2 linked regions of the Caenorhabditis elegans genome follow. The protein of the gene in region 1 interacts with the protein of each later gene in a pairwise test. Each region holds a gene or a part of one and is shown on either strand. Other genes may lie near its edges.

Region 1 (3,756 bases):
AAGAAAGGAGTGACACAACTGACAATTGTGATGAAAATATCTAATCGAAATTTAGGTCGCTCTTGTTCTGTCATTTTCCACTGACCTCGACTGACATACTAAACGGTGTCTAAGATTTTTAGAATGATAATGAACCAGAGAAACCTACCTGCTTTGATTCATTTGCCATTAATGGCATGACTTTACGAGCTCCGCGAAATGCACAATCTTGATCAATTTTTGTAAATTCTTTTGTGAGAAAACGGTTTTTAAAGTCGTCATTATAGTTGTAGTTATACATGAACCGAAGTGTCTGAAAAATATCAGTTCAAAATTTTGTATGTTAACATATTACTTATTTAAACTCACATAGATGAACGGCCATATGAGCAATCCTGGCATGATACAATATCGAAGAATAAATGAAATTATATTGATAATCCGTATGTATACATTCACAATTCCCATCAAACTTTTCTTTATACTTGCTCTCAAGTTTGCAGTTGTATCATCTGCAGCATTTGGTTTACCATCATCAGATGACTGGTATTCAGCTCGAATGTTTTTCGCCTTTTTTATCTCTTCTATCACTGGATTCACTTTCTTCAGTGCCCATTTTGCTGCTTCAATGTGTACGTAGAAAATCTTTTTCACCGCGAATTCAATTGCTTGAAAGTAAGCTGCATAAAATGGTACAGCTGCTCCTTTAACTCCTTTTCCAATGATAGAAGGTAAAGAACATACTTCCGTTGAGAAACCCTTTGCTTGATGGCAAATCTTAATGTTTTATAATAGGATTGATATGTTGACTGATTGAATACCTTTGCAGTTTTCTGAATCATTTCACAAGCATCGCCGTGGCTTCCAAAAAATCGAGCTTTCCCCTTACAATAAAAATATGCGTCGTCGAAAATATCAAGACATTTTGTATAGGGAGTTTTGAGCATATTTCGACATTGATTTGACAAGTTGGCTATAACTCGATAATGTCGCCTCATGATGTCCACAAATCTTAATTGAAACAATATCAATTTAATCAAATTACAAGAATTTGACATTTTGGGTATCCCAATTGCAACTTACTTTGTCATCTTTTCATCTAGAACCAATAGCATTTTCTTGACCTTATTCATTGGACCAGATACATTTTGAAGAAGTGCACGAAACCGAGAAACAAGCATAGCTCCTTTATCCATTACATTCCCTTCCACATCATTTCTTGAACTCATAACATCAATTTGAACGCAGGCAACACCAGAAGCTACTTGATGAATATTTCCAATAACATTCATTGCAGGACCCTGAAATTAGTTTGAGATGTTCCCGTGAATAGATGAATTGATAAAACTTCAAAAGCCATTGTGACAAGAAGAATTAAAATTATGTTTTTGATTTTTGTAGTCAACATGACGTGGATAGAAATCATAAAGTACGTCATCATCTGAAACGAAATATTTTATTAATTCCACATAAAAATCCTGAAGTACTTACTTTTGGAAATATCAAAGTGAAAATCAGAAAAACGTGGATAATTGTGGATATGGAAGTTCCAATACTATATTGAAAATATTTAACTTTAGATTTAGGATATGATCTACTTACAACTCCGGGTATTGTGAATATTTGAACGACAACAGAAAATACATAACTATTCCAAATAATTCAATCATTAGGATGTTTCGGAATAGAAGTACAATAGAATTAGCTCTGGAAAAATAATTTTAAGATTTTCTTTTTTCTCAAAATAATTCCAAAAACCTTGTTCCATCTTCGAATAAATTGTCATAAATCCCATCATCTTTTTCCTTTTTCCATGGAGGATATAAAACGGACAACCATTTTTTCAAACGTTCAGAATATCTTAAAACTCGGTTTTGACCTGATTTTTCTCTGAAATTTTTCATGTGTTTGAACAAAATCCACACTCTAACCAACCGTCTGATATTATTAACCACAAATTGAAACTTTCTCACAGCTCGATTGGCTCGACGTTTTACATTCCATAATCCAATTAAGCCCATAGTTGATACAATTCAGTTAGATTTTAAAAAGGTGAAATAAATATTTTCACCATGATACGTTTTGAAAATTTGTGAACCGCTGGCAAACAGATTTGAGTTCACGTTTTGAACATTTTCTCCGAATTGGGAAACTGCAGGTGTCCCTTTTCTCGGCTTTGCTTACTAAAGAGCCAAGAGAGCCAAACGGATTGGCATTTGAGACCTATGTGATTCAATAGCTCATGTTTTGAAACGGTTATACGTGGAAAAGTTAGAATAAGGTTTTCAAGCAAAATGTGCCTACTTGTGTGCCTATGAAACCAATTATTTCGAATTTTTCAGAACTACGAGCTTCAATGGAACTATAGTATACACTAACTATAGGATATACATCTCTCGGAACCGCTGGCAACAATATTAATTTTTCAAACATTTGTGAACTGAATTACAGAATACACGTTACCAAAAGTACATCGATTGTTTATTTCTTTTTATCACCAGAAGTACATCTGATTTCGGAACAGGCGTTCACTAATTTTCGTTGCTTCATTGCAATGAAAAAAACGAGTTGCTTATCGTAATGCTTGTTATCATATCACTGTATCTATTGCCACTTCATATCTCATTTCCTCTTTTTGTAGGCCGATTTGGGTCAATCCGATATAGAGAACACCTATAAACAAACCCCTTTTTTTTCATTTTATGACGTGAACATTCAGATCCTCAATAAAACGGATGGGTGTGGTTATGTTCTTGTCCCCTCGAACACAACTTTTAATTGTATTTCTAATTCTCTGAAGAATTTCAGATTTCTGAAGAGAAGAATTCAATTGTACTGTCATTCCCGTCCCTTTTTGGGGCTTCCGACGCAATGTTGCCTCTTTTCAATAGATACGACGAATAAAAAAAAACAAAAAACAAAGAAAATGATTTTGCTTCCGATTGCTCACCAGGCTTCAATCTATACTGTACATTTTTCCCCAATAAATATAAAATTTGGATAGTAGAGAGACAGAAAATCAAAAAAAAATATATCGTAACTTGTATATTGTTCCATAAGAGAGACGCACAAAAGGATATATTTGATGGTGTGTGAAACCCGAAATCGTCGTGGTTACCCCCGTTGTCGGCGACAATTTCAACAGACTTTTCATACTGACTGGTTTTCGGTCGACAGTCATTTTTCACCCACTTTCAATTTGACTAAACTTGGTCAGTGTTCGGTTTTTCATTGGTTACACAACCTTAGATTTTTTATTCTTTGTGTTTGATCCCTGATTTGACTAGAAAACATTAATTTGCTTGTTTGATACTCAATTTCCCATGTGCCAGTTTAATTTTGACAGTTGTAGGAATTCCTGGTTTCGTTAAAAATTAGTATTTCAACCATTGATTTGTTTTTGAAGGTATCTGTTAATCTATCAAGAATTTATTGTAAGAAACCACAAACTCGCCAAAATCTTGGTTTTGTATTTATTTTTCATATTTATTTTTTGTATTATCTATTTTTTAAACTCACTTTCTTACTGACTTGGCTTACATAAATAAAACCGTTCAAATTAGATGATAGATGACTTTCAAGAACTTAAAATTGGCAGAGAGTTACCTTTTTCAAAATGATGCGTATAATTCGGCACAATTTAGTTTTCAACACAATACAACATAAACAAAAAGTAAACAAAATTTTTAAAAGTTCGTCAATTATCAATTTGGTCAATTGTACGTAGTAATTGAATCCTTCTTTCCATCAACCGTAACCATATTTCGACTTTTGCTT
Region 2 (3,756 bases), on another chromosome or scaffold:
ATTTTCAATAACTTACACAAATCGATTCGGCTTCCATAATTGGGGAATGATCAAGATGCATGATCTGAGCATTAGCCTTCTCCATATACTCTACACAATCGATCGCAATGAACAAACGCCCAACAAATCTGAAAATTAAACAAATTAGTTTAGTCTTCAACTCTCCAAGCCTACCTGCTCCCATCCTGCTGGGATCCTCGCATTTTTCTTGAGAAGATGCTGAATCGAGTCACGCGTTCGCAATCGAATACATTGAGAAACGCAGGTCCAAAAGTCGGAAGGTATCCAGTCTCTCCTGGCTCGTAAATCATTTTCATTGGAAGAGTGGCTTTTCCTATGCACGTTTTGCCTCGTCCCTTTTTGTCGAACAATGAGAAAATAATCTGAAAATCAGTTATAAAAATATCTTCGGAAATTGAAGAAAATAAGAGATAGGCAGGCATGTAGGCATAGACTGTCTACCATGTCTCAGAGACGCGAAAAAATACGGTCTTAAAATCCAAACTCATACCTCTGAGATGACAGTTGGCCATTGAATTGGAAGATAGATCTCTTGCTCAAACTTCACTGATGCGATGTTTGCATCTTCATCAAGAAACGCAGATTCCATTGTTGTTTCGGTCTTGTGTGCTCCACACTGAACCATCACATAGAATCTTTGCTTCTTCTTGATTTTCCTCTCATTGATCATCTGTCGGATGAGCTGTTCCACGGAGAACACTCTGATCTGAAATGAAAAGTTATTAGTAATTAAGCATCTTCAAGTACCGTACCTTAAGAGTATAATCAATGAGATGTGCTCCACTCCAGATTTGCTCCTTCCCATCGTCATCAATCAGCGTTGGTGGTGACTCGTCGATCCGGTACACAGAGAGCGTCACCTTCAGGAATCCACAGTTCTCATAGGCGATATCGTCCGGTTCCTCGTCATCCATTCCAGGAAATCCCAGAGCGACCCATTTTGCAATGACAGATCTGTCGGGAGAGTGAATTACTTCCGAGAGGTAGCAGCTGAACTCTCCGACGCTTGATTCACCAAGTGCTGTAGGACGCACGAGCTGGAAAGTTACATATTTGGAAATTACAGAGAACATGCTTAATCACTGATAACGCTTCAGAGCAACCAAAGAAAAATATTCCAATGTTTAAAAGTTTACCCGAAGAGTCAAAACTTTGGCAGCAAGCTTCTCCAGTGGCTGGTTCTTTATTGTGTAGAGAATATTTTGTCGCCACTTTGGAATTGCATGAGTAACTGTTCTTGTCATTTTTGAATTTCCGTCAAAGATCGTTCGAACTCTTGCGGATCCTGTGCTGACATCCTTTGCCTCAATAATTCGTACAAGAACATTCCAGGTACATGGCTTGTCAGTGTCCTGCAGTTTCCGTTTTCCAAAGCTTTTTCCATCATCTGGCAGCAGCTCGATGTCAGATCCACCGTCGTCCGATAGCTCCTGAAATTTGTAAATTAAAAAAAATCAAAACGTTCTCTCATTAATCTTATACTCAGTAACAAAATTGTGGCAGCTCTAATAACTCAAATTATCAAACTCGATTAGAAGCCGAAAATCGATAATCCTAAGAAATAAATGATTGATTTGAATGAAACTAGAACTTCATTATCATCCACTACCTACAAAACCGATACCAGTAAAATCGATTTTTGGTTTAAAAGATAACAGTTTCAATAAATAACTAGCAAACTATTGCGAAATATTATTGCCACGTAGATCTAATATTAGATATTATAATAAATCGATACTACCAAACTATGTCAACAATCGATAAAATCACTGTGGAACTATTTCGTACTAAACAAACAAGGAAAGGTCCATCTTTGTTCTGATTCTAAACTAATATTCCGAAACTAACAGTCATCTCCGATGTTCCCGTGCTCTTTCCCGATTTGCTCTTTTTGCTGGATTTGCTCGTCTTGCTTGTATTCCTCGATTCGTTATCCGAATCGTCTTCATCCCGATCTCTCTCCGGGCCGGAATCCTGAAATATTGCAAAATTTAAAGGAATTTAATAAAAATAAGACACACCACATCACTGGATGAATCCCCTCGCTTAAACTTTTGCTTCACTTTCAGTAGCTTTTCCTTGACCGTCATGTCGATTTGGTGGAAATTGAAAGAAATAACTTGGTTCCCGTGAAATTTTTGCAAGGGGTGTTGGATGACGTGGCAATAAATGTGGCAAAGCTGTGAAGACAAGAGAAGCACAGGTCACGTGAGAAAAGATACGTGATTCAACTTTTTTCACGTAAAACTTTTTTGTTTTTTTTCTCACGTATTTATTTTTGTTTCATTATTTTTCTGATTTTTAATTGTCAGCCAAATTGTAGTACGAAATTGGAATTCTCACTAGAAAAAGATGAAATTATCATGGTAGTGGACTAGTACGGTAGGAGTACTGTATTTTTATGCAAGCGCGAGTTGGGCGGGGAAAGAGGCGCCCCGTCACGCCTCGATCGGTTTTTTTGAGATGTTGTCAAAGTTGTCACTGTCTATAAGGAGTCGGCTGCGATTTTCGTTTGCCGAATATCAGTTTTCCAAAAGTTTTAAAAAAGATTTTTTATAAGAAAAAACGTGGTTTTTGATTTTTTTTTTTTTCCGTTTTCTTTAGACATACTTTGGAAATGTTGTTGCTCAAAATATTCATTGAAACTTTCGGGTGTGCTTCCTGGGTGCTCACTTCCTAATTCCCTACATTCATAATTCCGGATGACTCCATGTCATTTCCGTCGGCTCACATCACCGAATCCTCCCGCCTGTCAAACAAACGTGAAAAGATTATGCAATTGACAAAAGACATGAGTATCTTCAAAGGGAAACAAAATGTGTCTCCTGCTGAGATATCATCATCTGGTACGAAATCGAATGAGCACACCCCCATTTTGACAGACGGCCATATGCCTTTTGCAGAAAGGAGTTGACCCCCCACGGGTACCTCTAAAAGGCATGAAGCATTGTTGATTGACGAGCCGATTAGCGAATATTATTGAGGAAAGCTTTTGGATTGAAACCAATGTTATGTAATATGAATGATTAAATACTTTATGATTGTTGAATTATTTGAAGTTTGGCGAAACTGTAGTTATTGAAATTTTTGCCAAATGTGTGGCATTTGGAAAACAAAGATTTAAGCAGCAGTGAGGTATTTTTAAATAAAAAAAATATATCTCTTCTTTGTCACTACTTTTTATGTTCGTAAAATGAATCCATCGTTGGTTTTTACAGATGATCTCAAAATTTTCTAAGGGTATGTTAGTAATATTTTTCAAAGTGAAGGGCCTTTGTGACAAACTTCTCGGCCATCCTGTTGGAGTCCTAAATATATTTATTTTTAAACATCAATCAGCAAACTCTTAACAACAAGCATGATTTTTTTGAACATTTAGAAAATTAGATAAAAATTTGGATTCTTTATTTGCAGAGTCTTAGCTCTTCAGTTCAACGTTCCAAATTTCAAAAACCAAAAAAAGCATCTCAATTGAACAATTGTTGGCATGTTGTACAACAAAAAGGTCGAGAGGTGTCTGAAGTGACACGTGTCTTCCTATAAATTGCACTTGATAGACTGTAATGGGTACTGAGATTGAAAACACCTGTTTTGAGGGATATGGACACTTGGTACATATATGACTACTACATTTTACAGTCTTTAGTGAGATAATGTGGACATATGTTTGTGAATAATATGATGTAACTTTGAGACGATTCAGATTATGAATTCCATTAAAAATTGCAGTGCAAA

Evidence for each region. The genes of interacting proteins can lie anywhere in the genome.
Region 2: the proteins of spe-42 (region 1) and fer-1 interact in a two-hybrid assay, tested with the Caenorhabditis elegans proteins (one study listed by BioGRID).

Annotation. Positions count from the first base shown.
Region 1 is NC_003283.11:11,734,969-11,738,724, forward strand, and holds the start of spe-42 (Dendritic cell-specific transmembrane protein-like domain-containing protein), read right to left. Parts: upstream 2,029-3,756; 5' UTR 2,001-2,028; coding exon 1,915-2,000; intron 1,870-1,914; coding exon 1,738-1,869; intron 1,687-1,737; coding exon 1,582-1,686; intron 1,535-1,581; coding exon 1,471-1,534; intron 1,421-1,470; coding exon 1,328-1,420; intron 1,281-1,327; coding exon 1,063-1,280; intron 991-1,062; coding exon 801-990; intron 757-800; coding exon 349-756; intron 293-348; coding exon 149-292; intron 99-148; coding exon 1-98.
Region 2 is NC_003279.8:8,629,074-8,632,829, forward strand, and holds the start of fer-1 (Sperm vesicle fusion protein fer-1), read right to left. Parts: upstream 2,130-3,756; 5' UTR 2,112-2,129; coding exon 2,043-2,111; intron 1,996-2,042; coding exon 1,870-1,995; intron 1,452-1,869; coding exon 1,158-1,451; intron 1,059-1,157; coding exon 774-1,058; exon of another isoform or gene 728-773; coding exon 512-727; intron 384-511; coding exon 175-383; intron 129-174; coding exon 17-128; intron 1-16. UniProt on the Caenorhabditis elegans protein: Required for the fusion of the membranous organelles (MOs) with the plasma membrane, a process essential in spermiogenesis.